Linked DNA regions of Lytechinus pictus. The protein of the gene in region 2 interacts with the protein of the main gene of each other region in a pairwise test. Links are inferred from orthologs where the notes say so. Each region holds a gene or a part of one and is shown on either strand. Other genes may lie near its edges. The genes, in order: zonadhesin-like and cysteine-rich motor neuron 1 protein-like.

The links.
Region 1: the proteins of cysteine-rich motor neuron 1 protein-like (region 2) and zonadhesin-like interact in a two-hybrid assay, tested with the Caenorhabditis elegans proteins (2 studies listed by BioGRID). The link is inferred for Lytechinus pictus from reciprocal best matches to the Caenorhabditis elegans genes crim-1 and Y69H2.3.

What each region holds. Positions count from the first base shown.
Region 1 is NC_087255.1:32,033,691-32,050,007, forward strand, and holds the start of zonadhesin-like, read right to left. Parts: upstream 8,623-16,317; 5' UTR 8,510-8,622; coding exon 8,505-8,509; intron 7,637-8,504; coding exon 7,560-7,636; intron 6,262-7,559; coding exon 6,055-6,261; intron 5,912-6,054; coding exon 5,726-5,911; intron 4,900-5,725; coding exon 4,714-4,899; intron 3,796-4,713; coding exon 3,625-3,795; intron 2,412-3,624; coding exon 2,235-2,411; intron 2,072-2,234; coding exon 1,895-2,071; intron 1,730-1,894; coding exon 1,553-1,729; intron 1,391-1,552; coding exon 1,214-1,390; intron 861-1,213; coding exon 684-860; intron 521-683; coding exon 344-520; intron 181-343; coding exon 4-180; intron 1-3.
Region 2 is NC_087251.1:737,056-753,166, forward strand, and holds the start of cysteine-rich motor neuron 1 protein-like, read right to left. Parts: upstream 8,159-16,111; 5' UTR 8,024-8,158; coding exon 7,912-8,023; intron 4,759-7,911; coding exon 4,638-4,758; intron 3,060-4,637; coding exon 2,938-3,059; intron 1-2,937.

The DNA.
Region 1 (16,317 bases), on a different chromosome or scaffold from region 2:
TACTTGTTGATGGACATTCACTTTCCAGAACACATCGACCGTTTTCATCGCGTAAGAAACCATCGTCACAGAAACATCCTTCAACACAAAGAGTAATGCAGAACTGTTCCTCATCTTTATTCTCACAAGTTTTTGGACAGGCTGATCCACAGGATGTGTAGGATTCATTCTCCCCACAGCCTACAGTGGGAATATAACAGATGTAGAAAGAACATTGGTGAATATCCTGAGAGACAGATGGGATGACAAAAGACAGCCAAGATAGGTATGAAAGGAGGAGAAAAGGGAAGTCAAAGAGATAAAAACAGAAACACAGAGGCCATGGGAAGTCAGAGTCACTTACTTGTTGATGGACATTCACTTTCCAGAACACATCGACCGTTTTCATCGCGTAAGAAACCATCATCACAGAAACATCCTTGAACACAAAGAGTAATGCAGAACTGTTCCTCATCTTTATTCTCACAAGTTTTTGGACAGGCTGATCCACAGGATGTGTAGGATTCATTCTCCCCACAGCCTACAGTGGGAATATAACAGATGTAGAAAGAACATTGGTGAATATCCTGAGAGACAGATGGGATGACAAAAGACAGCCAAGATAGGTATGAAAGGAGGAGAAAAGGGAAGTCAAAGAGATAAAAACAGAAACACAGAGGCCATAGGAAGGTGGAGTCACTTACTTGTTGATGGGCATTCACTTTCCAGAACACATTGACCGTTTTCATCACGTAAGAAACCATTGTCACAGAAACATCCTTTAACACAAAGAGTAATGCAGAACTGTTCATTATCTTTATTCTCACAAGTTTTTGGACATGCTGATCCACATGATGTGAAGGATTCGTTCTCCCCACAGCCTGCAGAGAGCGAATAAAACAAATGAAGAAAAGACATTGGTGAATCTTAGAAAACAGTGGAGGACAGGAAACAGCCAAGATCTGTAGAAAGGGAGGAGAAAGACAGACAATTTTTTTTTTTTTTTAAGGCTAATTTTCACAACTTACTGCATAATTATGCTACATTGGATAAGCTTTAACATTGCAGTAAACGGGGATTTTCCACGGTTCCTTTTGTAAGTTTCCATAGCTTTTTAAAGCATTTCTGGGGCTAAATTGCCCCAGCCCATGTGTAATTTTTTTCCCTGGAGAAAAAGAAAGTCCAGGCGAAATGAACAGAAACAATGAGGCCATAGGCAGGTGGAGTCACTTACTTGTTGATGGACATTCACTTTCCAGAACACATCGACCGTTTTCATCGCGTAAGAAACCATCATCACAGAAACATCCTTCAACACAAAGAGTAATGCAGAACTGTTCCTCATCTTTATTCTCACAAGATTTTGGACATGCTGATCCACAGGATGTGTAGGATTCATTCTCCCCACAGCCTACAGTGGGAATACAACAAATGAAGAAGACATTGTTGAATATCCTTATAGAAGATGGGATGACAGAAGACAGCCAAGATAGGTATGAAAGGAGGAGAAAGAGGAAAAGTCGAAGAGATAAAAACAGAAACACAGAGGCCATGGGAAGGTGGAGTCACTTACTTGTCGATGGACATTCACTTTCCAGAACACATCGACCGTTTTCATCGCGTAAGAAACCATCGTCACAGAAACATCCTTCAACACAAAGAGTAATGCAGAACTGTTCCTCATCTTTATTCTCACAAGATTTTGGACAGGCTGAGCCACAGGATGTGAAGGATTCGTTCTCCCCACAATCTACAGAAGGAATAAAACAAATGAAGAAAAGACATTGGTGAATATCCTTAGAGACAGATGGGATGACAGAAGACAGCCAAGATAGGTATGAAAGGAGGAGAAAGAGGAAAAGTCAAAGAGATAAAAACAGAAACACAGAGGCCATGGGAAGTCAGAGTCACTTACTTGTCGATGGGCATTCACTTTCCAGAACACATCGACCGTTTTCATCGCGTAAGAACCCATCGTCACAGAAACATCCTTCAACACAAAGAGTAATGCAGAACTGTTCCTCTTCTTTATTCTCACAAGTTTTTGGACAGGCTGAGCCACAGGATGTGTAGGATTCATTCTCCCCACAATCTACAGAGGGAATACAACAAATGAAGAAGACATTGTTGAATATCCTTATAGACAGATGGGATGACAGAAGACAGCCAAGATAGGTATGAAAGGAGGAGAAAGAGGAAAAGTCGAAGAGATAAAAACAGAAACACAGAGGCCATGGGAAGGTGGAGTCACTTACTTGTTGATGGACATTCACTTTCCAGAACACATCGACCGTTTTCATCGCGTAAGAACCCATCGTCACAGAAACATCCTTCAACACAAAGAGTAATGCAGAACTGTTCCTCATCTTTATTCTCACAAGTTTTTGGACAAGCTGAGCCACAGGATGTGTAGGATTCATTCTCCCCACAATCTACAGAGGGAATACAACAAATGAAGAAAAGACATTGGTGAATATCCTTATAGAAAGATGGGATGACAGGAGACAGCCAAGATTGGCAGAAAGGGAGAAGGTGGAGAAGTCCAAAAGACATAAAAACAAGACATCACATTACCTAATTTCTCCAGGATGCCATGTCAAAATCTCTGCTCACGCTTCTGTTGTTAATCAGAATTGAAAACTAAGTTTAAATGGAAAAACGCAATTCAAAACTTCATTTTTTCATTTTTTTTTTTCATTTTTATGTGCCATTTTGAGAAATTAACCAGCAATTATTAATTCTTTATTCCCTTCAGCAGGTCTATTCAAATCGCTGACAATTTCACCAATTTTGGTGCATAGAACTCATAAGCAAACCCTAAATAGCTGCATGCATGGGCGCACATAATATGAAAGATAGTCTCAATCGAGGGGGGGAGGGGATAACTTTTACACTTGATGGCTTGTTATGTCTGGAGAGAGACATAAAAATAGATAAATGAATAAATGTGAAGTCAATGGTATATATTCCATGCACCTTCAGAATGTATTAAACAAACCAAGGTCCTATTTCAGAAAAACTTGTTATAATAACAAATTTGCGATAACAGTTACAAGCTTACTGAAATCATTCAGTTTGATTGGCTGATACTATTTAAACTTATTAAAAAGAAATTGGGCAATTTTTATTACAACAAATCTTTATTCAACGGGACCAAATACAATGACACCTTTAAGTGTTCTTTGAGGTCATTAGCACTACTGAGGAAAATAATTTGCTTTCACGAACTTGCGCTTGGACATTCCTCTGGTGGAACGCATGGTCCGTCTTCAACCAAACGGACAAATCCTTCTTCACAGAAGCATCCAGCCACACATTGGAGAGTGCAGATGACACTCTGCTTAAATTTGGCCAAGATTAACTAATAGATAAGTATCAATTAAATGTGTAAATGAAAGGAGAGAGGAGGTGAGAAGACTATTAAGATGAAAGACACTGAAAATGGTGAAATTAAAATAAACAATGAGAAAAATGATAAACAAAATTATATGGATGTAGGGGGGGGGAGTGTTTCATGAAACATCAGTGATTTTCATTGACAAATTTGATCTAAGCCAATGAGAAACAAGTATTTCAGTAGTTTATAAGTTATTTAGTGAAAATCAATGACTATTGTTTCTTAAAATGAATCCCTGATCTGCTTACCTGGATCTGGACATTCTGCTTCCAGAACACATCGACCGTTTCCATCGCGGACATATCCGTCATCACAAACACATGATTCTTCACAATTCAGAGGACATGGGAGTTTTTGGTTCTTATTTTCACACGTCTTCTGACAGGCTTCGCATCCAGGAGACTCGTTCTCTCCACAAACTACAAGGTGAGAAAGATGGTTAAGAATACCAGTGGGGCAGGGGAGGGGCGTCAAATCTGGGTGGACACCATGCTTGTCCACAAAAGTGGGTGTAAAGCGGGTGTTTTTCACAATCATATATGCACGGACAGTGAAAAGGGTATCAAACTTGCCAAAATCAGGAAAAAGGGTATACTTTTCAACAGCCATGCAAGAATCAGAAAGGGGAAAGGGTATATTTTTTGTCCTATCATAAACATAGAATATTTGAGACATTATTCAGTGTTGGGAAAAAATGAATGGGGTACTCTGACATCTTGAAAATTCATGGACGAGCATGGCGTCCACCAAGAAACAAGAGTTGTCTCCCATGAGACTTTATAACAGAGAAAGCAATGAAGGTAAGGTGCCCATGCAAAGTCTGTACAGTGTCCCTTGTCTGTGCATACGCGTATCTGCGCAATTCTAATAAAAGAAGACATGCAATGACCTCATATTTTACAATTGTAATACATAGACAAATATTCAATGAAAACTTGACTCAAAATAAGGAAAATATTGAATTCCAGGCATTCAATGTGAGGGCCTCGATATGCAGCTTTTCTCATCAAAATATCTGAATCATGTGTAAAGTGAGAGGATGCACAGACATGGGGTACAATTTTTTTTTTTTTCAATCTGACAATGATTGGCCAAGATTTTCACAAGATTTTGGCACCCTTACTCATAATAATATAAGGAACATTATCCACTGACATTTTTTATGGAATAAAAGGAAATTCCTGTTCAATCTCAAGTTAAATTTCTAGGTGCACAGACATGGGGCTGCCCTTCATACAATTATTATAAGCTGGTTAGGAAGGAGATTAGAATAATTCTTAAAGAGTCTGGTCACCCTAGTCCCACCCTCCCTTTGCCGAGGATCAATTGCTACTTACCAGGTGGACATTGTGATTCTAGAATGCATTGGCCGTTTTCATTGCGATCGCGGATAAACCCTCTGGCTTCGTCACAGACACATCCAGGAGAACAAGGAGCTTTGCAGGCTAAGTTTAAATTTTTATTTTCACAGGTTCTCCGACAAATGGAATCACAGTTAGAGAAGACCTCGTTCTCGCCACAACCTGCATGGAGGAAAGATGAGTGGATACTCTATAGTGTGTCCCAGAAAAGAGGCAACTTTTTTTAGGCATAGATATCTCAATCATCAAGTGTATTTTGATTTCATATTTGACACTTATAGAATGAGTAATCATGCTCATGGACGCCCTCTCAATCGACGAGACTGCACATTGAATATTGTGCATGTTGGCACACTCTCTGAATTAAGAGACCAAGTTTTAACAGTTTATATTCACTTGGCCAACAAACAGCTGGTTTTCTTCTCAGATAGTCTAATAACATATGAGCTAAACACATTTGATCTTGTTGCCGTTTGGTCTACATTACACTTGGTTTTATACTCACTTTTTCTAATGCCTAGTTGATCAACTTTCCATTTTTTCTACTCATTTCTTTTTTTTTTCATTTATCAAATAAAAATTTGATTAATAACTTCACTTTTTGCAACCATACTAAGACCAAGCAGTCTTATACCAAGTTATAGTATACAAATTGGGTATAGACCAAATGGTAATTAGATGTAATAGTAAAATACACGTAGTTCAAGTGGTAAATTGACCAAAAGGTTATTAGACAAAGTGGTTGTAGACAGAATGGGAAAAGACCATGTAAGATGAGATGCATGTTGGCTTTGGACAAGGTACACCAAAAGTATCAAGGACCATACTGTCAGAACATTCTGAAGAACAAGAAAATAGACTATTACCATGGCAACAAATACAAGAAGAGTAAAACAATATTTCAGGAAAATGTGAAGGAGATAAGGAAGAAATATCATGACATAAAAGAATATCTCTGGAAATGAGAAGAGGACCCTTCAAAACTTACTTGGTGGACATTGTTCTACTTGAATACAGTCACCGTTCTCATCCCGGACATATCCATTTTTTCGATCACAGATGCATTTTGGTATGTTCTGACAAGCCGCTCTACAAAATATTGGCTGTGGGTTGCTGCATGATGGCTCAGGACAAGGTGCACCACAAGTATCAAGAACCATGCCTTCAGCACATTCTGAAGATCAAGAAAATAGAATATTACCATGGCAACAAATACAAGAAGAGTGAGACAATACAGGAAAACATGCAGGAAATAAGGAAGTTCATCAAGACATAACAGATTATCACTTGAATTAATAAGAGTTATTTCAAACTTACTTGGTGGACATTGTTCTACTTGAATACAGTCACCGTTCTCATCCCGGACATATCCATTATTTCGATCACAGATGCATTTTGGTATGTTCAGACAAGCCGCTCTGCAAAATATTGGCTGTGGGTTGCTGCATGATGGCTCAGGGCAAGGTGCGCCACAAGTATCAAGGAGCATGCCTTCGGCACATTCTGGCTCTGGAGCTGCCGCTACTGCAAAAGTCAAAGCAACACAACAAGTTACTTAGCAATAATTTCCCCTTAATTAATTTTACGTATGTAAGACTTGCATATTAAAGGGGAAGCCCACCTTAACAAAAAGTTGATTTGAAAGATGATAAAATCTAACAACTCTTTCATTTCATCAAAATCAGAAGTAAAATAGGAAATTCACAACAAATTAAACTTTTGGTCAATTAAACATGTACTTATCTTCTATTCACTGCCTCTCAACTCATCTACTGTCTTCTACTTGCTGCCAGCAGGATTTCTCAACTCCTCTCAACTCATCTACTTATCTTCTGCTCACCATTAGCAGCACTCTCTCATCTCAACTCATCTACTTATCTTCTACTCACTGCAGCAGGACTTCTCATCTCAACTCATCCACTAATCTTCTACTCACCACTGGCAGGATTTCTCATCTCAACTCATCCACTAATCTTCTACTCACAACTCCTCTACACATCAACTTAACTTATCTTCTACTCACCGCAGCAGGACTTCTCATCTCATCTCAACTCATCCACTAATCTTCTACTCATCACTGGCAGGTTTTCTCAACTCCTCTCAACTCATCTACTTATCTTCTGCTCACCATTAGCAGCACTCTCTCATCTCAACTCATCTACTTATCTTCTACTCACTGCAGCAGGACTTCTCATCTCAACTCATCCACTAATCTTCTACTCACCACTGGCAGGATTTCTCATCTCAACTCATCCACTAATCTTCTACTCACCACTGGCAGGATTTCTCATCTCAACTCATCCACTAATCTTCTACTCACCACTGGCAGGATTTCTCATCTCAACTCATCCACTAATCTTCTACTCACCTCAGCAGGACTTCTCATCTCATCTCAACTCATCCACTAATCTTCTACTCATCACTGGCAGGTTTTCTCAACTCCTCTCAACTCATCTACTAATCTTCTGCTCACCATTAGCAGCACTTTCTCATCTCAACTCATCTACTTATCTTCTGCTCACCATTAGCAGGACTTCTCATCTCATCTCAACTCATCCACTAATCTTCTACTCACCACTGGCAGGATTTCTCATCATCAATTCCATCTAGTTTACAGTCCTCCTTAGGAAAAAGATACTTTCCCTCTCATCTTTCTCTTTCGCATCTTTCATTTTTCTTCATCTCTATCAATCCACCATCCAGTAGTTCTTCTCTTGCCCAATAAAATGGTGAAACATAAGCCTCTTCTATGATATATGTACAACCATGCAAACATACAAAGATCTCCTGAGAAAAGAAATATAATTTGAAAATAAACTTACAGTTTGCTTCTGTTGATGCAGCAAGTAGCCCGACCAACAATGGGATGAACATTCTTGAAAACATCTTGAAAACACAACTGAAATAAACAAAACAAAGGTATTTCAAAATCTTAATGAAAACACTCCTGTAAGTTCAGGGGCCCGTTGCAGAAAGAGTTGCAATTAATAGAAACTCTACAAATCAATCGCAACTTGATTTTCAACCAATCAACAGCACGCATTTGGGACTTGCCATTGATTTTTTTACTTGCGTTTAAACGCAACTATTTCTGCAACGGGCCCCTAGGGCTAGATATTATAAGTATTTCAAAGGTTATTAAGTTCTATAACCCTTTGACAATGGAAATATGTAATTGCCATTATGTTTAATACAGCAGTCACAAAAATCCAATATCCTGAAAGAATGTATAATGATATTGATAAAAAAGATAAGGATAAGGCCTGCTCTCCCTGAGCTAAGGTAAATAGACCTACACTCTGAGAAATGCTAGCGAAAATCATTGATAAGTTCGGTTTGAACATTCATCTCATAACATTTTTTAATAAAAAATCTTATTGACCAACTTTTATCATACATGTAGCTGTAATTAATGATAGTATTCTTTTAGAATCGGTAGGTTCTAGGTTATAAAGTCTCTCCTATCGTTTCTTCAATTCTGATGACAAATTTTAAAAAAATATGTGTATTTGACTTCAAAACAAAGTACTTAAAGTTATATTAAACCCAACATATCATTTTCATTATCTATTTACGCTTCAGAAAAGGACTACTCAATGTACAGGGTTGTGTGATGAAAAAGTTTGTTCTACCTTTCTTTTTGGTAAGATAAGGGTTGACAAGTGTCAGCTCTTTAAAAAATATGATGACTCTTTAGATTGCTTAAAATCTGAGAATGAAAACCATGACTGAATATTCAAGAGAATTATATGAATTCTCACAATCACCTCATCAATCTTTCCAAAAGAGGTACAAGCCAGGATTTTTTTTCTAAATTCCTAGCAATATGAATGTTCAACTTGAGCACAAAAATAAAACTTGCCTTACCTCGATGGTTGTTACCTCTGATCTATGAGAATATATTTCCAAAGTGAGAATACATATTTTCAAATAAATAACAAAACCCAGATTATTGATCCATGGCATCTGGTCCCACACCAGGTACAGGTGCTGAAATGGAGTAGACCCGTGGGGTTGCACCCCCCCCCCTTTTATGAACAGAATAAATACAGATAAGATTATTATTGAAAAATAACACAATCTGATAGATACAATGTGCATAACTGATATATATAGCTTTGTAAAAAAATACCCCCCCAAAAAAAATACAAAAAATACATTTATCATTTGGTTGAAGCTATCTTTCCTCAGCTTTGCTTTGGAAAGATACAATTGACATCTCATTCACTGAAACCATATTTTTTCCTTTGTACTGTATAACATTGGAAATGATCTAATCATAGAAAGAAAAGGAAGGCATTTTCTTCAAAAATAATGTCAACTGAACGATTGAACATTGCTTAATTACTGACAAAGCAACAAAGTTCAATCTCTCTTGTATGCACATGCCAATTGCTTTTGGTGCGCACAATAGTTTGTTTTGATCATGCACAAGGATAATGCTTTTTTTGGGGGGGGTAATTTAATTAAGTGCACGCACTGTGCACCTATGAGTTAAGAAAAAAATAAACATTGAAGTGCAATGAACCTTAATTAAAGATAGTACACAATCCAGCAAACTCAGATAGTACACACTGTACAGCATTTATTTAAATAGCAGATAGCACACAGTGCAATGCACCTCTACCAATGTTAGTATACAGTGCAATAACTTTCATTATGAGCTCACTCCAGATAAAGAAAATGTGTGTTGAAACTGTATTGTATAGAAGACTGAAGAAACTCGGAAGATAAGTGAAGATCAAGAGTACTACTTGGGTCCCGTTTCATAGATACTCGTTATGATAACAAATGCATAATTTCTAAATTTCTAGAACAAGTTCACTATCACCAAATGAAACTGCATGATTTCAGTAGCTTTAAACTGTAATCGTAAATTTGGTGTTATAAGAAGTTTTATAAGAACAGACCCTAGGTGTTTGATGTGCAAATTACAATTGATCATGTGATTTAGTTTAAACCAATCAGATTGCAACATATTAGACAAATAACCCCTCCCTATAATATCACCGTTGACAATACCCCCAATATTTGGTTTATGTTCGTGACAATAGTGTGCACAGATGGAATAATCCCAACCCTCGACTCTAATTTGATTCACACTTTGTTAACAAAAATATTAATCCTTGCTTACCCCATGGACCTATTACAACCCATGCTTATCCCAATTACATTCAAAACATGAAACGAAAATCCATGATTATATCGTTTGATATTTGACAATAATCAATATTTAGTTGTAAACATGAAGGTTAACATCAGGCTTAAAGGCTACGTTCTAAGAAAAATATAACGCCCTTTGGATTACAAAAGAAATTTTGAAGGACCACAGTACCATCGTGTGACAGTAACGTGAACAGATGGAGTTGTCACATCTCTTGATTTGCAAAAACAAACCCTTGACCATCCCATAATTCTATCACTTTGATTTACAATATACACAATTGACACTTACTCAAGGTTTGGTATTCTTGTATGCAGTTATTAACAATAGGATTACTCTAATATGGGAATAGAATGCATTTTGCAATAACCTTATATAGGAGTACTAGTTTGGAACAAACAAAACTTAGATTTTCTAATGAAGAAGAGTTATGATATTGATTTGTTTTGGAAACAAGTGTCTTCTCAAGTGTAGGCCTACAATTGCTTGTTTTTCTCCTCAAACATTATTTTCAAATTTCTCAACCTTATCAATCATACTTTGGTTTATTTTCCTTCTTCAGAGGTTTTTCTAACAAATGCATATGTATATATATATATAGAAGACATTTCTCTTCTCCTGTCTCCAACCAACCGCGTAGCCAGGATTTCATTTTGGAGGGGGCGGTAAATGCACGCGAAGCGTGCCAACACTTACAGAGCACGCAAAGCGCGCTCCCTAGGGGGTGGGTGCAGGGAGGGGGAGTTCCCCCCCCCCCCGCGCGAAGCACGAAGCTTTTGGGGTTTCATAAATTAAAATGAAAAGGAGCCGTCTCTCTTGTCTCTAGTACCTATATCAGCTCCAATTCAGTTGACTATATTGTGCTTTTGAACCTCGTTTTCATGAACCTTGCTTTCAAAAGTGATTGTGAACGCACAAAAAAGGCAATGGAGGAAATTAAAATAATAATAACCCTGCGCAAAGCGCTGAAGCTAAAGCGTTTTATCAATTTTTTTGCCATGAAAAGGGTCCCGAGAAACGGGTATTCTCAAAGATATATTGATTACTTCCCTTGGAAAGATCAGATTTGATTACAAACAATTTAGCGACAGTGCATATCTTTAACTCGCAAAACAGAAGAGAAGAAGTGTATATACCAGGAGGAAAATATTCCTCCCCGAGCAATGAAACTCTGAAATTTCAAAGGGCGGATGTTTCATGAAATGCAGATAGGCCTATCTCTAATACCCCATCGGCTCTAATTCAATTGATTTTCTAAGATTATTGAACTTCATTACAAAGAAAATAATGCTCAAAAAGTTGAAACTTCTGTGATTTATTGAAATTATATAAAAAAGGATGCCTAATTTCTTTGACTAATCCTGAAGCGCTTCATTTTGAATTATAAAGAAACTTAGGTGTCATTCAAAATTTCAAACTGAGGGCGCAAAACATGACAGGAGATGAATGTGCAGGGAAATGACATGAAGTTTAATAGAATTTGATAAAAAATATTGTACTTTTTTATTTAGTATATACGACACAAATTTTATACCTTCCTCTTTTTAAATCAGGAAACTGTTTGCCCCAAAATTATGGTTGTTTAGTAATGAGCTGAAAAGCGGGAGAAGTTGACTTTATGGAGGTGACGGCAGAAATTGATATAAAGATTTTACCCGCCCGGAACCGACCCGGCCAGAAGTTGCGCGATCAATCAAAAAAAGATAACTTCATATACTTCGATATAACTTTACTCTAATTCCATGCCCTAATGTATACATTTGAACTTTAACTGGCAAGAAACACATATAGCTGAGGTGGAAAAACAGGGTTAGAGAAAGGGTGGGGGAAACAAAGGAGAACTTCAATATTGTCATTTAACCGCGCACAGCGCGGAAGCAAAATTCATATTTAGAGCAAGAGTGAAGGAGTTTAATTCTCTTTTGAGAAAAAATTTTAAAAAAAAATAAAAAAAAAAACACAAAGCTACCTTTCTTCCCTTTCCTCCCTTCCCTTTTCCTTTTCTCCTCTCTTTTTTCCCTTCTTTTTTTTCTTTTTGGGGACGTTTTGGGGGGGTGGCGACCGCCCCCACCGCCCCCCCCCCCCTGGCTACGCGCCTGTCTCCAACCCCAACCTCACTACCCTCACTTTCTTTCTTCCTCTCATGATCATCAATCATCAAAATCATCACATACCAAAGAATAAATCTAACACTGTTGGGATCATTATCTACAGTATCATCATCATCATCAAAATCATCACCATTATCATCATCTTAATCAACATCATCACCACCACCACCACCACCATCATCATCATCATCATTACAACATTTTACATAAAAATCCACCATTCACAGTACTAATGAATTATGTCTTTATCATCAGAACCAAAATCAAATGGAATGATCTCGTCTATTATTAGGAGAGTTGACTAACTAAGCATTGCTGGAGTAGTCTGCAAACACAGACTCAAAATTGACATTTTAACCCATTATACCAGGTCTAGAGTGAAGACTAGATTCCAAACTCTCTATGTCTTCGGTAGCAGCAGCCACAGTACATATAATATTAAACAATAATAATACCAATGATAATAGTATTCCACTTTTGTACATGTAGAGCATTTAATGTACTCAGAATAGCATCTCCAAGTGCTTTTACATGTATATAACTACTAAAGGTCATTTGATTCCGATGTGCTCGCAAACATGACGGCACTAAAATACAATAATATAATTCATCACTCGACTCACATTTAATCTACCAGACAAGGACATTCTTCTTTTACAAAGGAAAAATTCATACATTAACGAATTTCTATAATTACATGAGGCTGGTATTGCACAATTCGGATACTAAATTTATTTCATTGCTACACAAAGAGATGCTATGATACTTTTACCTATACATGTTTTACTTCGAAGAGTCATATCTATTTTTTCTTCATAACATTCAAACCAGCCACACACACAAAATTTGTCTGTGCATGTAGGTCTTTTTACAAAACAAGTCTACAAATTACCTATTAAAGCCACTAAGGGACGCACCATTAGAACTCCGGGGGGGGGGGGGGGGGGCTGGAAGTTTTTTCCCCCCAAAAAAAACTTGACTCACCATCAGAATAAAAAAAAAACTTGGTCCACTGACAAATCATCTGAAAGGTGCCAAAAAATGGACTATTAAAAAAAAATTACTCAAAGAAAAAGGAAAAAAAATGCATCAACCCAAACTTCCAGCAACCTCCCCCCCCCCCCCCGGGTATCTAATTGTGCGTCACTAAGGGGTAAAAAATGTGCATTATACTTGAGTATCGTCTAACTTTCCAATCTTAAAAATTCGTAGAAGATGTTCGATATTATTTCAACTGCCAATTCTCCATGATTATCTAGATATTCAAATCAAATTACATGTATCTAACGCCCTCTCTTAACACTATTTTCATTTTCCATTATAAGTCTTTTTGGGCAATGAGGTGTGATAAATGGGTATCCGGTAGGAACAAAATCCTTGAATGCTCAAGCGTCTGCTCAGAGTAGCCATGCTAAAGCCAAGGTAATAGTATGCAGCGCTTTATATTAAGCCCTATATAAATGTTGCATATTATTATTATTTATCTTAAAAAATTAGAAATTGGATAATTAGAGGCTACAGGCAAAGTAATATATCCTGAAACTTTCAGCCAAGTTAACAGTTTGGAATGGGTTTCTAATAAATAGAAAAACCATTACATTTTGATCGAGTACCCGATCAAAATACATATTCATGTACAATCACAAAATGTATCCTGTAAAACACTGTTTTAGGGCATCATACACATTCATATAATCTTGTAATGATTTGGAATAGTGATAGCCACATTTTGGGGAATTTACCAAAGCTAAAAGAGGCTTTAATTCTTTGCTATTTTGACATCATAATGGCTTAGTATACGTCTCCAATTGCTTTAGCTAAAGGTTATTTTCAAAGAAGTGTCATTAATTTAGGCTTCTTTCAACAAAATCTCTCAGTATGTTGAAAGGTAGATTTGGGGGTTGTTTCATGAAGGACTTTCAATCATGCTAACTGTCCCATTATGTTAAAGTAGCATCGTAGTAAAGGCTCAGCAGCCAATCAATCATAAAATATATAAATTTATATTCAGCGACACGATTGGTCGAATCTAATTTATCTAATTCATAATAATAGATGAATAAGTACATGTCCCTACATGTACAAGTATAGGGGCTGACACACCACTTTAGCCAGCATATGCTGATGGACACAAACTACATAAAAAGTATGTTTATTTGATTCTAAATTCATTTTTTTTTTATCAACACAAATGATCCTTCACATCAGATAAAAGGAGAAAAAACACTTGCCACACATACAGTACATTGGCACAAGCTGGCTAAAACATCTAGGGGAGTATTTCACATGAAAGGACTTGTTAGACATTTCATCTGACAAAGTATATTTTATCTAACAGTTACCATAGGTACTGTGCTCCTAAGCTTATCAAAATAAAGGAAAGTTCCAAAGATATGACAACTTGTGGATAAAAAATGTCGACAAAATGCTTTCCAGACGCAACATCCCCTTTTAAAAAGGCCAAATGATTGTCTCTCCCATAGGCCTCTCACAATGTGCTCCTCCAAATATCTAGTTTTGGTCCAATATTCAATGAGTATAGCAGTACAAGACATGTTCCTGGCTCCTAATAATTCAAACCATCATCATACATCACTGGTAAATGTAAATAATATTTTTTTAAATCTTAAGTCCTTCCAACAGATCATTCTAATGGCATCTTCAGTGTCACCAAGAAGTGGAAGAGTTGTCAGTTGCCATGAAGTCAGGTACATGATCTTCACTTTGTGCAATGCCACTGGAATATTTTGAGATGGCAAATGGTATATATTAAGACCACATTTACTTCTTTCTCATGAATAGTAGTTCTCCTTAGACCATGTAATAAAAGAAAGAGGATCATCCTAGAGAGACACCGTCCTGTCCATCCCAAATGGTCCTAAGACAGCAACCTGCCAATTAAGTCCTTCTTTCTTGTCATCCTTGAGCGGTATTTATACACAGGTTGTACAGTAAACGCTTTTCTGAAAGACTAGCGTTGTTCCAGAGATTTGTCTCTAGCAATAACAGAGTCTTCAAATTTGATCATGTATGTGGTTCCTTTGTGCCAATGAGCAGTTACCTTAGCCGGCTGTGTGTGAGGGGGGGGGGGGGAAGGGAGATGACAGAAGAATGGGAGAATGAGGAAAGAAAAGGAAGAGAAAAGGCGATGTAATTATTATACCATTTTCCTATAAAATAAACAGATATTGACTAAGATATTAAAAGGTTTTTTTTAACATATATCTCATAACACTAGTTTTGAATCTCCATAATATCACCAAAACGGTCTATGGTACCTAGCAATAGTTGTTCTATATTGTACATTTCCACAGGTAAATGTCAGAGAAATCAATAAAATAAGTGCAGCACCTTGACATTTGGCATTGTTACTTTGTAAAACAATTATGTATTATAGAATGTTTTATAGGTTTATCACACTATAGAAAATTAGTAAGCTAATGAAACTATAGGTCTCACTTTTTTCAAACAATTTCATGAAATGAGATTACCAATACTTATTTTTTCTTCAAGATTATCAATAAATAAGTTATCAATCAAAACATTTATATCATTTGTTGAGTGTAATAACCAATACAAAGAATATATTTATAATATAAATAGAATCACAATGTAGATTGTGAAATTGATTTCTTATTTTGTGATAAAATGCTCCAATCTAGGGAAAGGCATGATTACAATAGCGCCATCATGCAATCAAGTAACAAAAAGCCTATCTCAAGCTTTGGAAATGGGTCAGTGATATTAGTTAAGTATGATGAATTTTTCAGCAATTAGAATTCAAATTTGGCATATTTTCCAGCCATCACAAATTGAATTTGGCATTACCTCCCCATCTCAGCAATGGTCTTTTTTTTTAAAGCCCTTTGAGCCCATTAAAGCTAAATGAAAGTAGTTGCAGTAAAACACTGATTTCGTGAGAAAGTCTGTAAAACCAAGGTTAAGTATTACTATACATCATGGATCTCGATCTGGTACAGTTACATAAACTGAACTTTGTGAAATCATAAAATCTAAGCTGAAAAACGATCACACTGAAGATCGCCAACACAGATAGGCATGCGTGGGACAGTGTATATTATTATTGCTGGAATACAGGCCAGACGGAAGTGCCTGAATCCGCACTTATTTTGCATTTTTCTCAGCAATTACACAATTTCTTCCAGAATCCCTTGGCACATATTTTTTATTCATACAAAACAGACACTTGGGTGGTCAAGATATTGGATTCTGTAAAAAGTCATTTTGAGATCGTTACCACAACTGGCATTTATCTTTAAAGCTTTAGCAAATGGAAATTAGCTC
Region 2 (16,111 bases):
AATGTCATAACTTTCTTATTTTACATCCGATTTTGATGAAATTTTCAGTGTTTTGCTTGTTGGATTTTTCTCCTTCTATTCAAATTAACTTTTTGGTGGGGTGGACTTGTCCTTTAATACATTCCATTGTGTAATGACCCTAGATTTCAATTTGACTTGCAGGTGTACATGATGAAATTTCCCTGGGCAATTTGTCAGCAAACCTACTTTTCACATTAAGTTTGCAATCTACTTTGCAAGTTGATGTTCTAGTTTCTTGCACAGAACTGACGGCCCATGTCAGGTAGATTCTTATCCCATGTGGTCGGGTTTTGCTTTACTGATCATATACAGTAAGTTGGACATACAGATTCTTATCAATTGATTTGATGACAACATATTATACATCATGCATAAAACAGAGAATTTACCTGAACATTGTTACTCTTAAAGTCACACACTAAAATTTGAGAGTGAGAAAGTTGTATTTCATTTTCTGATCTCTTCAATTAATAATACGAAAATAAAATTGCTATATTGGCAACCATCACAACAGGTTGCTTAATATTGAACTAAAAATCACATATATGAAACATGATGAAATCTCTGTCAATTAATGAATGTGTTTGAAAACTGAATCTACAATAAATATCAAATACATTTTGATTAGGCCTGAGTAGAACCAGTCAGTCCGGGACACTGGTGCAATTTCTTCCAGACTGATAGACTGCTAGAATAAAGAAAAACATGAAAAATTCAGTATCTTCAAAGACTGTTAATATCAACCACTTTTCAAAGCATTATTCCCTTATCTAGATCTATATATCAAAACTTTCACATGATACTAAATTTCAAAGTAAAGCTATGAAAATAGTAATGAGCAAGATTTTTCAATTTTCTTGCTTGAATTTTATCAGCCCAAAACATTATAATCCCTGTTAACGAGCACAGCCATCTTATTCTGGTTGTGATCGCATTTGTTTATAATTGCAATTCTGCAGAGGAGTAACTAAAAGTGGAAAAATTGCAATCAGATTAAAATGGATGTGCCCATGCACCTGGGATTAAAACAATTCGGGCCTATAAATTGAAGCAAGAAGATTGAGAGATCATGCTCAGTTCTATTATTTTCATAGCTCTTCTTGGTTAATTTTAGGTTTGGAAATTTAGTCTCATGTGAAAATTTTGATTTACAGATCAAGAAATAAAAAGTGATTGAAATTCATAGTATTTGGTGACACTGAATTTCTCATGTATTTCTTCATTTTGGTGGTCCACAGGTTAAAAAAAAAAACAGGATGTCTCAGGCCTAATTTTGACATTTAAAGCTTGGAAATATATACAAAAATAAGTGTGCATATCATTTCATAGAACACAATATAGCAATTTAGCATATACAAAGTACTCCTCCCATTTTTTGCTAAATTTTCAAACCTGAAACTAATTCTCTTAAAAAAGGATGGAAACGTGAGACATAGGTATTTGATTCAGTAATTCTACTTGGGGTAACACTAAATCCATTCTCCTGTGTCTCCACATAGAATGGGGGCAAAAGAGACTTGAAACCAATACAACATCAAAGGATCCTTGCGCCCATTGTCTTTTATAAAGTATCTTTAGAGCTTAGGGAATTAAACAATGCTTGCACCTTGGACACTCTGGAGTGAATTTCATGCTTCTTTTCAACTTCACATTCACTGATATCATGGCATGGAAGCTCACCGTGAAATTATCTTGTTTTAAATGTCAACAAAAGCATCATGACAGAGTTTGGCTGAGATGTAAAGACCATGCTCTTTATACTAAATGTAAAAGCTTATTTAATGCAGAGACATGTTTTCACTAGATACAACACTTTGTTCACTTTACATGTAGATGTTGAAAATTCATGTTCTTAATAGTTTCTAAGGCATGTTCACACTAGATGTTGTAAATGAATGTTCTCACTCAATGTCGGGTATGTTCTCACAAGGTGTAAATGCATGAAACACAATTTTGTAGATATACTCAAGTAGTTCAGAGTAAATATCAAGGTGATATTCACTAATCATTGATATTGTACTATATTGTTTGAATATAGTTTTGCGAAATGTTTTAAAAAGTCTGTACATAAAGAAAATGACTTAATAAAAACCTAGACATGCAGCGAAATAATGACCTATTGGTATAGGAGTCTGGATTTAGACTGCTTTAGATTTGATGGAATTCCCTGTTGACAGTCATCATCTTAAACTAATCCAATGAAGTGGTCCAGGGTAGGTGTTTCAAGAAGCTGTTTGTAAGTAACATATGATTTTATGAACGACTGGTGACACTTTCTCGTGCCAAATGATATAACCCTGTATAGCTAACTTAGTACCTGAGGTGTTCCAGTCCTCTGTAAAGTCATGCGTAACTTTAGGAACAGCTTTATGAAACACCCACCAGATGTAGTCTGTTGACATCATCAGCAGAATGTATAGCTCTACTGGAGATACTGTTGGGCAATAAGGTCAATGCTCTCAGGAAGTTTGAAACATTCCATCTTGTGACTCAATAGTCTACATAACTCCAAGAATACACTCTACCTCTGGGTACTTCTTTGCAATATTTCAATTCAAACCATGAACCCATAGATAAAGCACTGTTATACAGAAGACGTTACATGGTCTTAAGAAATAGTTTTCAGGATAGCTTCTTGAATCACTTCATGTGTCCACCTTACTACCGTAGCGGTCGCTGATAGATTGGTCTAGCATGAATTATTCAGGAAAGGTGAGAGTGAACCAGGGGAGTGTTTCATCAACATTTCCGTCCGACAAGTTGTCAGACCTGACAACTTTCCTTGATTCTGATTGGCTAAGAAGCACTGTTACTATGGTGACTGTCGGATAAAGTGGGACTTGTCGGATAAAACGTCCGACAAGTCCTTTCATGAAACGCTCCCCAGGTCAGAGAAACCTAACTGATGATACTTACCAACAACACATTCATAGACATCACAGCATGATCCAGGTTCTATAGTACCACTGGCTATTCTCCTAGGAGAATAACCTTGAGAACAGACTGGTGTCATACATCGCTCTAGGGCACAGCTACATCTATCATGTAATAACAAAGGTAAAATCAATGGGTTAAAATCATGCAATCGTCTCCATCAACTATCTTTTCATTCCAATCGTAGTTACAGTAACTTAAGTGTAATCCAATGTCATTGCCACAGATGGATGGGAGGTGGTTTGTAATAATCAAGGTTGTCAATAGTCCTGCTGTGATTACATCAATTCTAACAAGTGTTTTATAGTGCCAGCTTCTTGCTGTTGCTTGACTGTCATATGGGTTCTGAATATCAACATTTATAACAATAAATCGGAGTTACAACAGTAATTCAGTAATCTTTATTTTCATCACTTTTTTCACCAGATCAATTTTTTTCATACACGAATTCAGATAATACAACTAAAAACTCCTAACTGCTTGTCCTCTGTTTATATCAAGTTTTTGGGGGTGGTTTGGGTGTCTGTTTATCAAAATGTTCACATGTCTAAGGGTGTGTTTATGATTCCATTGCGAGGACAGAATTGGCATTTCCAAATGCAATTTCAGAATGCTGATTGCAAACATGGTTCTGGGAGTGCTGTTTATGCTTAATTTTTCCAGAGGCAAAATCGGAATCTGCAGCTGGCTTCACATTATAATTTACATTGAGCAGGAAAGCGAAGTCGAATTGGGCACATCCTTTTTCAATTTTTTTTTGCAGAGTGTTGGAGTGGTCAACTGTTATTTTAACTTTGAACAACTTCTGATCTTTTAGTAATTGCATGGAGCTAGATGGCACCCCGGGGGGGGGGGGGGGGGGGCTACTCGAATTATAACATGATACCTACGTGCCACACCAAAGTCGAAAAAAGGGGGCTCTGGAACTAAATATTGGTCTTTAAAATGGGTGTCTCCAGAATGGCCCTTGAATCAATAATTGCTAAAAATGCATTGCTTTGGAATTGACCATATCAAACATGGGGGTCTCTGGAACTCATTGATTGAGCTCGCCGCCCCGACCGGCTGAGTAGTTAATGATGGGCGCGTACTGGAACGAGAAAGTACAAATTTGAGGGTCTCTGGAACAGGGGAAATAGGAATTTCTATGACTTTCTAAATTGGTGATGCTCTGGAACGGAAATTTAGAATGAAAATCGGGGTCTCGACCGCGCCATATACATATCATACATTTATGCTAAGTAGCCCCCCAGGGAATGGCATAGCCATTCCACCATGGTGAGGGTAATTGGAAGACAAAATAGAGTATGTAAGTACACATTCAAGCAAATAATGACATCAGGTTTTGTTTGGCTCAGTGATGTCTCCTCATTAGAACTCATGTTCAGTAAGTATGATCTCTTAACATTTATTCTGATGATGAATAAGAGAAGGATTAACTACAATAGCACTTTATTCAATAATCATACCTGCAAATTCTTGCTCATTATTAAAACCAGGGAGTTGAGAGGTAATGATGCAACTGTATTTCCTCATGGATGCAATAGCGTTTTGACCTAATCACGTTTGAAAATTCTTATTCTGGCCTAAAAAGTGGAAGCATAAATGCTCCCTAATTTCATGGATATAACACATGTTTCTATGGGCTGTCAAAGAAGTTCCATAGCAGGAACCTTACTGACCTGCTTGGTAGGATACAGCAGCCATCATCTGACATTCCTCCCATCACAGCCTTAGAATCAGGAGGACACATCTCTTCAGAGCTATCCGGACAAACAACTCCATTGCAATGATTGGGGTCCACTGAAATAATAAAAATAATAATAATTAACAAATAAGTATCATAACCATAACAAATAAATATTGAAAACAATAATAGTAAAAAAAAAATAATAATATTAATAATAATAATAAAAGTAATAACAAGTAATTATTACAATAGTATTCCGCTTTTTGTGTAGTGCTTAATACACCGGATTGAGGTCTCCAAGTGATAGAAAGTATGATAGTTGTAAAATAACTAATAATCATGTTCATCATTATTAGTCCTAGCAGCAGTAATGGCAGTAGCAACAGCACTAGTCATCATTGTCACCATAGAGGTTGTGGTAGTAGTAGGAGAATTGCAGAAATAATAGGAGTAGTATTAGAATTAGAGGAAGTAATCATAATGTGGTGTTCAGGTGGTTTTCAGGAGGTGCAAGTGGTGGTGGTGGTGGAGGGGGTGCTGGTAGTGGTGGTGGTGATGACAGTGGTGGTGGTGGTGGTGGTGATGACAGTGGTGGTGACAGTGGTGGTGGTGTTCAGGTGGTAATGGTAGTGGTGATGGTGGTAGTGGTGGTGATGGTGGTAGTGGTGGTGGTGGTGGTGATGACAGTGGTGGTGGTGGTGGTGATGACAGTGGTGGTGGTGTTCAGGTGGTGACGACAGTGGTGGTGACAGTGGTGGTGGTGTTCAGGTGGTGATGGTAGTGGTGATGGTGGTGGTTGTAGTGGTGGTGGTGATGGTAGAATTTGAACTTAATTGATAGTACATTACATATGGGAATAACAGTAGACCAACTGGTATTAGACCAAAAAATATGAGCAAACAAAAAATCAGATTTCAAATGATGAATCACCATAATTACAACTGATACTTTTAAACAAAAACTTCTTAAATTGGCCATAACTGGTATCATGCCCTCCATCCTGTGTCAAGGAATAGGGTGGTCTTTGATATGATCCATAATTTGGTATCGCTCTCTTAGAAATGGTAGAGAATAAAATTGAAATGACATCCCAAAGGAGTTTAGCACAATGAACAGCAATTTTAGTTGCAATTCATCATCTTCTTTCGCTAGTCTTCTTCCAAAAAAAAACATGCTATAATTTCAATATCTCTTTCATTTTACAAATTGAGGCACTTTAAACAAATAAGCCATAAAACCATCTAGATGACATCAAAAGGTAAGTTCAGAATTAAAATGAAGGAGATCAAGAAGATTCACTAACAAGGGCTAATTTAGATTTTAGGAGCAAAATGGAATTTGTCCCATGGACCTATGTACTTTTGCCTGAAGCAGATATAGATTGTACTTCAAGTCTATCTAACCTTCAAAATGTATTATTAGTATTATTCATTATTTTCACAGTTTCTAACTCCTTTTTTTCTTAGAAGAGGGCAAACTACCTATGAACTTTAATCCAAACTTGAACATTTCTTTTGAATGTTGATCTACGTTCTAGACACTCTTCATTTACTAGCTTGGAAATTCCTAGAGATCTTACACTGTGTCTATAAATTCTGCCACCTAGTTTTCACTCACTACAACACCATTATCATGATAACAATAGGTTTTCACAAGCTCACAAAAATGAATTGATTATTTAAAAAAATACTTTATACTATTATAGTCTAATATAAGAGGAAAAGTAGCATTATTGCTTCCAAAAACTGAAGAAAAAAAATATGTAAAGACTCCATAATTGAAATAAAACTCTGTGGCTGGTATTGATTCTAGTTTGTGATGGCATTCTGTAAAAAGTGCATGGCTCATATTGTATGAAGGAAAGAAGACATGACAGGGGTATGGGAATAGAGGGGAACAGAGTTCATATTCTGATGAACTAGAGTAAAAAGATGATTGATATGGATTATTTCATTTCATGTAGGTCCTTGTCATCACATGTCCTAGGATTAGGATCTTTGAAATGGTTTTCTTTTAAAGGAATTGTGGACTAATGCATGCACAGATAAAGAATGTAATTTGTAGGCTTTCAATATATCAGAAAACGATCTATATAAGCTGCATTCACACTTGCCCAGTCACAAAAATAAATAAGTTTTCAGGCTTGAGAATAAGACTTCATTTTTTGCATTCACACCTACCTCAACCAGATAAAATTCCTGCAATTATGAGCTTGAAAGAAGATTTTCATTCCCCTACAACATTCTTCTTGCCACATATCAAAAGTTATCACAAGTTTTTTACCAAGGTGATAATCTCCTTGATTTTTTAATTTGACCAAGAAGAAATCCAGGCAAAGCTATTCATAATTGTGAAAAGTAATTATTTCAATTTGTTGTCATTTCTTTTAGGGATAACAAGTACTTTTTACACTGACACAAGTATTTCACATAATCTAGGAGATGTTAAAGCATTTGTAGAGAAACATTATTCAAGTAAGAATGTGGAGCATATAAACAGAACATGGGTTTGGTTTCATAAAGCAGTTTAATACTGGTATAGAAACATGGCAATCCAAAATTCCATATGTAAATCTAGATTTAATCATTCCATTTTTATTGAATTAGCTAGAAAAATATCATTTATGCAGATTAACATTCTTATTGAGCTCACAAAAATGACTCTTCCTCATCAAAAGCAAGAATAATTTTTTTTATTACAATATAATTGGGATCATTTGAAACCATCACAAGTTTTTTAATATCTGTAAAAAAAAATGACACATCATTTGGTATTTCTTATTCAAGTCATTCATAAAGTCATATGTAGACCCTTTTTTTAAACAGAGTCATTGCACACATTGAGAACAATTGTTGCAAAGGAGGTGAAATATGGCATTTCTATCGGTAAATATACATGCATATAGCTCAAAGAATAAAATAAAATTGAAGGACCAATGGATATTGGATATCTCTTTTATTTATTCATTGTATAATAAAGAGCAACACAGATAAATGCCTTGCTCAAGGAATTGGTTCCCAAACTTTTGTGTGTTAACCAGGTGCCTTAGAACATCTTAGCCTCAGCACCAATAGATGGTAATAAATTAATTACTGTGTTATGTGATTAGACATCACCTTTAGAGTGTAGACTGTTCTTTGAATTCACATTCACATGAGCAAAGATACATCTATACCTGCTACCATCTAACAAATTTCAGCTAAAGAATCATGGTGGATTAACTGTTTAAAGGTCTATCAATACCCATCTAATTCTGATATACTCACTGATTGGTCTGCATTCATATGTAGCACAGCATGATCCCGGCCTCCCATTACCAGCACTCATCTCATGATACTGGTAACCCTCAGCACAAACAACATCATGACACGCCCCCATGTCACATAAGCACTGAGGGGGGCGAGGGCAGCATTCACCTTCTTCCCGTTGAGCCTCTATCTTTAGACTATCTGGCGGACAATGGATATCAAAAACAATGTCGCAGCGTGCCTGAGAACAGTCTGCTGGAGTTGGCTCTGGAAGACAAAATTGGAAACATATATTTCAACATTAATATTAGGATTTATGCATATTTATAAAGCATATAAAGCAAATAATGTATGTGTGTGTGTGTGATTTGTGAAATCAAGAAGTGAAAGCTGATAATACATGTAAACGTGGCTGATGTACTATAAAATAGGTTCTGGTGGGTGTTTCATAAAGCCGTTCATAAGTTAAGAGCGACTTTAAGAATGACTGGTGATCCTTTCTTTTGGTAAATGGTATACACCAAATGTTCATTGGCGATGGGTTAGCACATAAGAAAGGATCACCAGTCGCTCTTAATTTAAGAAAAGCTTTATGAAACAGCCCCCTGGACCCTGTTACATGAATACCTGTAGACACATATGATTGGATAAAACAACTTTTCCTATGATCTTTGACCTGTCCTCAGCACTTGGCAGGCCTGATATCATTTCAAGCACAGACATCTATTGAATACATCTAATACTTCCTTTGAAAAGCAAAGTTCACCAACTTCATCTACACAATAACACTAAATCCATGGAAACATGAGCGGTGTGGGCAAAAGAAAAAAAAAAATGAGGCAAAATACAAAACAGAAAATGAGGCAAAATAAAAAAATCTCGGGTGATCCCAGGACAATGAAATTTGCTCATGATCAAGCCCTAATGAAAATTTGAACAAATTTGAACAAAGGACGTGATCATATTTGAGGGTAAACATATGGCAAGAGAAAATGGCTCAACATTGTGCCAAGGCATTTATTAGGGAAGAGAAAAAGAGAAACTCTCCAGCTATTTCTAACCCAGAAAATTATCATCATCAGATTAGTCTCACAATTATTTGTAATGAAGATACAGGCTATGTCATGGGGTCTTTAGATTACAATTCAAATCAGAAGACTTCTACAAAATAGTACATTATTTGGTGAATGATCCAGCTAATTTTTGCAAGTGAATACAAATAATTTATTCATGTTACTATACCATGTTCTGTAAAACAACAAGATCTATGCCATATTCCACACTCGAGCAAAAATAGCCCTCTCGGTCTGATTTTGTCTCTTCAATCTTTCAATCTATGTTGGCTGATCAGACTAGAATCTAAATGAACAAACTTGGTCTGATGGAGATCCACCCTAATCAGCCAATAAAAGCCACATTATAGTCATGTCTGGAAGCAAGTTCACTGAGTCAATGTGAGGAGGTAATTGGTTTCCAATGATCATTGTTCTGCATGAATAGCATCTAATCAATCATAGATGGATGAACTCAAACCAACATCATCTTCACTTTACATAGAATGATAAATAGTGTTTGCAATTTCAGATGATAGCTGACAAAGATGCTGGGAGCCAAGATGCAGAAAGGGAGATATGCCAATCAATAATAGATCTGCTCCTGACATTTAAAAAAAATTCCAGTCGGACTTTGTTTTAAAAAAAAATTTAACAGTGTGTCCATAAAACAGTCTATAGCCATTTAGGGTGCGTTTATGCGCCACTTTTTTACCTTAGAATCATGATCTGAATCATGATTCAAATCATGATTCTGCAGAATCACGATTGCGTTTTATAGTCAAAAGTGAAAATAAACGTCTTTCAAATCACAAACAAGAAACACAGAAAAAGGGGCATTTGGAAAGATGTTTCTGTAGAATCACGAACAAAAAAGGTTGTATGAACGTAATCGTGATTTGAATCATGATTCTATGACGTCACTATGTCGGGCTACTTCCGGCTTGACTCTGCTACGCTCAGTCTGTGTACATAATTATGTGCCATGCATGTATTTCTTGTCACATGCATTTATTTGAGTTCTGTGTGGGTCATTGCATTGTCTTCTGCATTTCATTTTGTTTTTTTCATGGCTTCAACTTTAAGCTCTAGTAAATGAACTGGAAAGTTAAAGACGATGAGCTCAGTTTTTATAACAGTGCCAATATTAAATTGGATATATGCTGAAATTTACTTCCGAACACCATTTTTGATAAACCGACTAGATGAATAAAAGTAAACAATATTAGGTATAAAAGACTGAATTCTGAAAGCAAAATGTGTTTTTTCGAGAGCTGAAACCATGGAAATAAAAGGATTCTTACCTTTTATTTTAGTGACCGAAACACGCGCAAAAAGTTGACCTATACTTCCTGGGTCAAACTGCAAAGTATGGTCTGATAAGCAGGTAAGGCACTAGCCTCTTGTCGAGGCCCTGTCGGCTGCTTTCCAAACGAACATGGCTAAGCAAGGGAGAGAGCGAAGCAGAGCGCTGCGAGACAGGGCCTCTAGACATCTGGGCTGAATTTCTTTTGTTTATTATTGTTTTTTTACCAATATTCCGACCAAGAACTGGTCGGTGAAAATCATCCAATGAGAGCGCGGGCCGCTATGACGTCATATTGAATATTCATGAGCTCATCTTGAATGGCGACCCGTGGATTCTTGGCGAAGAGTGACGACAAAATATGAAAGAGCATTGAATATGCCTCTAAAAATGCTGAATATTGACCGATTTAAGGATTTGCAATTCTATGAAATTAAATCTGCACTGACAGGACGAGATGTTTTGTAAATATACCCACAGGATATGGAAAAAATGTAATATTTTTCAGCGATTCCACTATGCGTCGATTATCGATCTCCTCTGTGCAGTGAGGGATTAATGCTGGAGTGGAGCTTCCCCTTGACTCGAGTCTGACCAGCGGCTGACCAGTATCTCCCAGGAAGTTTTGGGGTGGTGATGGGTCTGCATGTTACGGCCAGTACTATAGTAGTAGCAGTAGTATAGTACCACTACTTGTAGCATTTTGCTGGTTATATCCCCTTTAGTGTCCCGCAATTAAATGAATCCCCTGCAGAATAGTGGACTACTATAGTATTCCGAAACCCGGACGAAACAGCTTTGACATTTCATTAGTTTACTAGGTGACCGGTAATATCATGACTCATGTATATTCATTAGGAAGACGTTCCTCGTGAATATATAATTCAGCTCATATGTCAAGAGGCCCTGGCTCGCGCCAGGCCTAATTCGAATTAGGAAATCCCTCGCTTCGCTCGGGAAGCAGCCGCCAAGGCCTAGACAAGAGGCTAGTAAGGCACGAGACTCAAGCTCGCTAGCTTAGCAGCTACCCACAGCGCCCATGCCCAAATACACGATTGGAAAGTAAGTTCCTGTATTTTGCCTTCACACTGCCAAAATACCTGTAACATTGGACCAAAATCCCCGCAAATTTTGTTGTCATTTATACAAGTACCTAGTATTTAGCAGGTAATTTCTTTTGGGGATATTACGTTAATTTGCTTTCACATTGCCAAAATTACCTGGTATTTTCTGATGAGGGTAGATCAGGGAAAATTTCCCGATCAGAGAATACCTGGAACTTACGAACTTCGAGGCAGTCTGAATATGCCTAGAGACTAGAGAATATAGGTAGGCAGGTGTATGATAGGGAGTATCTTATAACAAACAACTATGCGTCTTGTCACTTCTCATCACATCAACATTGTATTTACAGCTTCCAATTTACACTTTTCTTGTCTATTCTCTGCTATCTTGTTACCCCTCTGCTCCAATCTTAAAACGTCTACATTGAATATTAATCCAAAATAATTGTATTCAGGCAAGGATCCAAAATTAAATTTTAATTTCAATCGAAAGGAACTGTTATTTTAATTACTGGAGAGGGTCTGTTTGGTGTGATGGCATGAGGAATATTTTTTTCAGTTTTTCAAACAACTTTGCTGTGATGTGTTTGTAATTAAACCAAGATCTAAGTAAACTTGCGACCTTACAAGTAAAAGCTTACTTAGCAAGTAAAATTTCATGATTGTGTTTTCTTTTTATATTTTGAATATATGTATGTCATTGTAATTTGATTCATCCCTAAATTTTGGACTTTGAACTATAGCAGTTATAACTAGAACTGCAATCGTTTCAGAATGATGTGCATGCATTGACGCCTGTGATTTAATAGAGGGCAAGAAACAGGAGATAGAGAGAAAACTCTAGATGATATACATTCTGAAAATATTAGAGGGCGCTATTTCTTAAAGGAAATGGTCACTGATGTGTAAAACACAGTTGGATTATGTGAAATGATACAAATGGCAAACCCTGAAAATATGAGATCAAAATGAATTCAAACAAGGAAGTTATGGCAATTTTACAATTTTCTGACTTTGCAATAGAGGGTGCTATTTCTAAAGGTTATAGTCACTGATGCATACAAAAACATTTGGCAATTTAGGGATGATACCATAGGCAAACCCTCAAAATATGACACCAAAATGAATATAAACAAGGAAGTTATGGTAATATTACTATTTTTGACTTTTCAATAGAGGGCGCTATTTCTAAAGGTAATGGTCACTGATGAGTAACAAACCAGTGAATTATGAAAGATGTTACCTTAAGCAAACCCTGAAAATATGAGACCAAAATGGATGAAAACGAGGAAGTTAGGGTAAATTTAATATTTTCCACTTTTCAATAGAGGGCGCTATTTATTAACGTAGTGGTCAATGTTGAGTTTAAAAAAAACATTTGAATTATGAGGGATGATACCATAAGCAAACCCTGAAAATATGAGACTAAAATAATTGAAAACAATAGAGGGCGCTATTTCTAAAGGTAATGGTCACTGATGCGTAAAAAACATTTGGCATTTTAGGGATGATACCATAAGCAAACCCTGAAAATATAACACCATAATGTATAAAAACGAGGAAGTTATGGCCATTTTACGATTTTCCTACTTATATTTCAATAAATATGAACATTTTGAATGTAGACTATCTTGGACTTGAATTTAGTGCAAGAAGACGGCATTTTGAAGGGCAGATCGTATTTATATATGAAAGAGCAACTCTTAAACTATCTACTGCAATTTGTTAGAAGTCTGTAGCATGCAGGATACGGGAGTTAGGACGGGATTATAATTAGGAATGGTAAGCAAATGGACTTAAAATTTACAAAATGGCGCCTGGATGGTCATGCATGAGTGATTTTGGAAAATGAAAGATGAGGTGCACAACTAGGGGTGCTGGAAAACATGTCTACCAAATTTGAATGAATTTGGATGAGGGACGGAGCCAGCGCAGAGCTAACAAAAACTATGTGTTAAACGAATGGGATTTTGTGGAAGAAGCAGACAGAAGACAGAAGAAGAAGACGACGGAATAGGAATACGGAACAGAGCATTGTTGCCTGTAGGCGTCAATGCAATAAACTGAACTGAGTTCATAGCAATCTACACCATTCTACACAAGTTTTATCTAATACTTTTACCTTACAAATGGTAAATTAGTGTGGATCCTGTAACCATGTAATGAGGTAAAAGCCTTAGTGATATCACAATGAATCTCAAAATCAGATATCTGTATTAGATCAAACTAAACTAATTTCAAACTAAAATCGTTATTTTCTCAAGCAAATTTAATATTTTTTAAATTAAAAGATATAACTATGTATTTTTCTACCCACTTGTTAATCTAAGACACATTGATTTATTTCATAAAATATTGAAATGTGTTTTTGCTTCATTTAGCAAAGGTTCTGGGTAAGATAAAGAGAACGCTGGTTGTACGGCATAAGGTCTGTACAGTGTGCTTAGTTTGTCAATTACTGTTGCATGGGACACCATAAAACCATTATTCAATTTAGCAGTAAATTTGGGTAAAGGTTAAACAGCAACATCGCTGGAGACACCAGCTTATCTAATCACCGAGAACAAATTTAATCAATTTTTGCTAAAATGAATGGTTTTATACAGTGCTCAGCCACTGCACTCTTAAGGTAAGGCAAACAAAGTTTGTATACATCAAGATCTAGTTATAACTAGAGCGACCAAATTATACAGATGGAACAGGAAGGCAAATACTTGATTCAAAACCCTACATTCGCTTGTCATGAACAAAAGACTGTAGTTACATAGCTCATTGGAAATACACAATCAAATTTAAATCACACCTTGCATTAGCATAATACAGTGATTGCAAACCTATTGATATTTGGGTTATATTTGATGAGGAATTTTAATGCACTTCTTTTCAATTTCAACCAATCTTGACGCAAAAAATGTATTCAATTCAGAGAGTCATTCCGAAGGGAATATGAATGTTTCAAGTCCAAGGGGTGTGTGAACAAAAATACCTGAAAAGTTTGTCGCATTGTCACGCAAGGCAATAAAACACAACCCAGAAATCTTTTTACTGCCCTGAAAACCATTCATAACTTCACAGCGATGACAAAAGGGTCCATGCTAACACTAATATTGACGCACCCTGAAGGATGCTGTAGCTGAAGCAAATATCATTTAGTGCAGATAATGAGCCTCATATTGTATTCTTCTAAGACAATGTTTACCTGAAATGTTTAGTCTGGTAGAAGAAAACACTTGGTTGCTTTACTTATCCCACTCTGAGCAAGATGAATAGAAGACACACCCATCCTGAGTATATATTTACAACACAATTATCACTTCAATTTAACCCTCTGAAGGAGCGCTTCAATATCATCTTTGATTCACAATTCATATCATACAACACATCACTATGTTCACACTATCTGTTCAAAGAGGGTCAAACAAAAATTATAAAATAAATTTATAAATGTATTGGCCTAGCTTTGGTTTTGCAGCAATTTTGGATGGCTTTAGTATTTGACTGAATTTTGAATACCAGGATAATTAGATATAAAAGGAATTATGGAATTAGACTTTTCAACACTTTTGAATTTCATGAACAGACATCCAACTGTCTCTAAAATCTAACATGAAAAAAATAATAATTTGTAATTGATCATGGTAGAATTCCTGATTAGAAAATACCAAGTATTTTCTGTGATTAACTGGATATGAAAGGACCTCAACATTCATTATGGAAATGCAGGGATATGACACAATTGTTATGTTGTGTAGTAGAAAATAAGATGGCATTCCTAGTAAATTGGTATTGATAGTCTCTAGAAGGTCAGTGTCAGGTCAAATCTAAAATGAGAGCTAAGGCTAGATAGATGATACTAGGAATGGTCATTTAGACTAGAAGTGAAGTTCAATCTGATGTCAGGTTGGTTTTAAAAAAGAATAAAAGAAAACAAGTATCAATGAAGGTTGGGTGAAAAAACCATCAGCGGATAACAGAAATGTGAATTTATTTAGACTTAATTTTTTGTGGTGTTGCTTTCAAGCGAGTTTTAAGCTAACAAGAATGTTCATATAAAAATGCGTGTTCAAACAAAATGTTGACAAAGATAATTTTCAATGAAGAAATACTATGCAACTTGGGAATCATAACCCAATAATATCCATCCTCATCCAGGGAGGGGTGGGGGGCCATTTACATTGACGAGTGGATACCATGCGCGACCAAAAAAACACTTAAAAAGGATGTCTTTTTCAAGATAGGGCATACGTAACGTAATAAGGGTGTCAAAAACACTTTGATACATGGTATCAACTCGTAAAAACACGTAAAAAGGATGTCTTTTTCAAGATAGGGCATACGTAACGTAATAAGGGTGTCAAAAACACTTTGATACATGGTATCCACTCGTAAAAACACGTAAAAAGGATGTCTTTTTCAAGATAGGGCATACGTAACGTAATAAGGGTGTCAAAAACACTTTGATACATGGTATCCACTCGTAAAAAACACGTAAAAAGGATATCTTTTTCAAGATAGGGCATATGTAACGTAATAAGGGTGTCAAAAACACTTTGCGATGGTATAAAAACTTAAGACTAAATTGTTTTATAAATGTTGATGAGTGCATTTTCAGAATATGGAAAATACGTGTTTAGGGTGCTTTTCGAGACCCTATGGTTGCGCATGGTATCCACTCGTCAATGGAAGTGCCCCCCCCCCCCGATCCTCATCTGTCTCACAATGTATTCTAAACAAATTAAACTCAAGATGGGAAACATTAATCTGTCAAGATTGAAATCACATCAAGTTGAAATTCA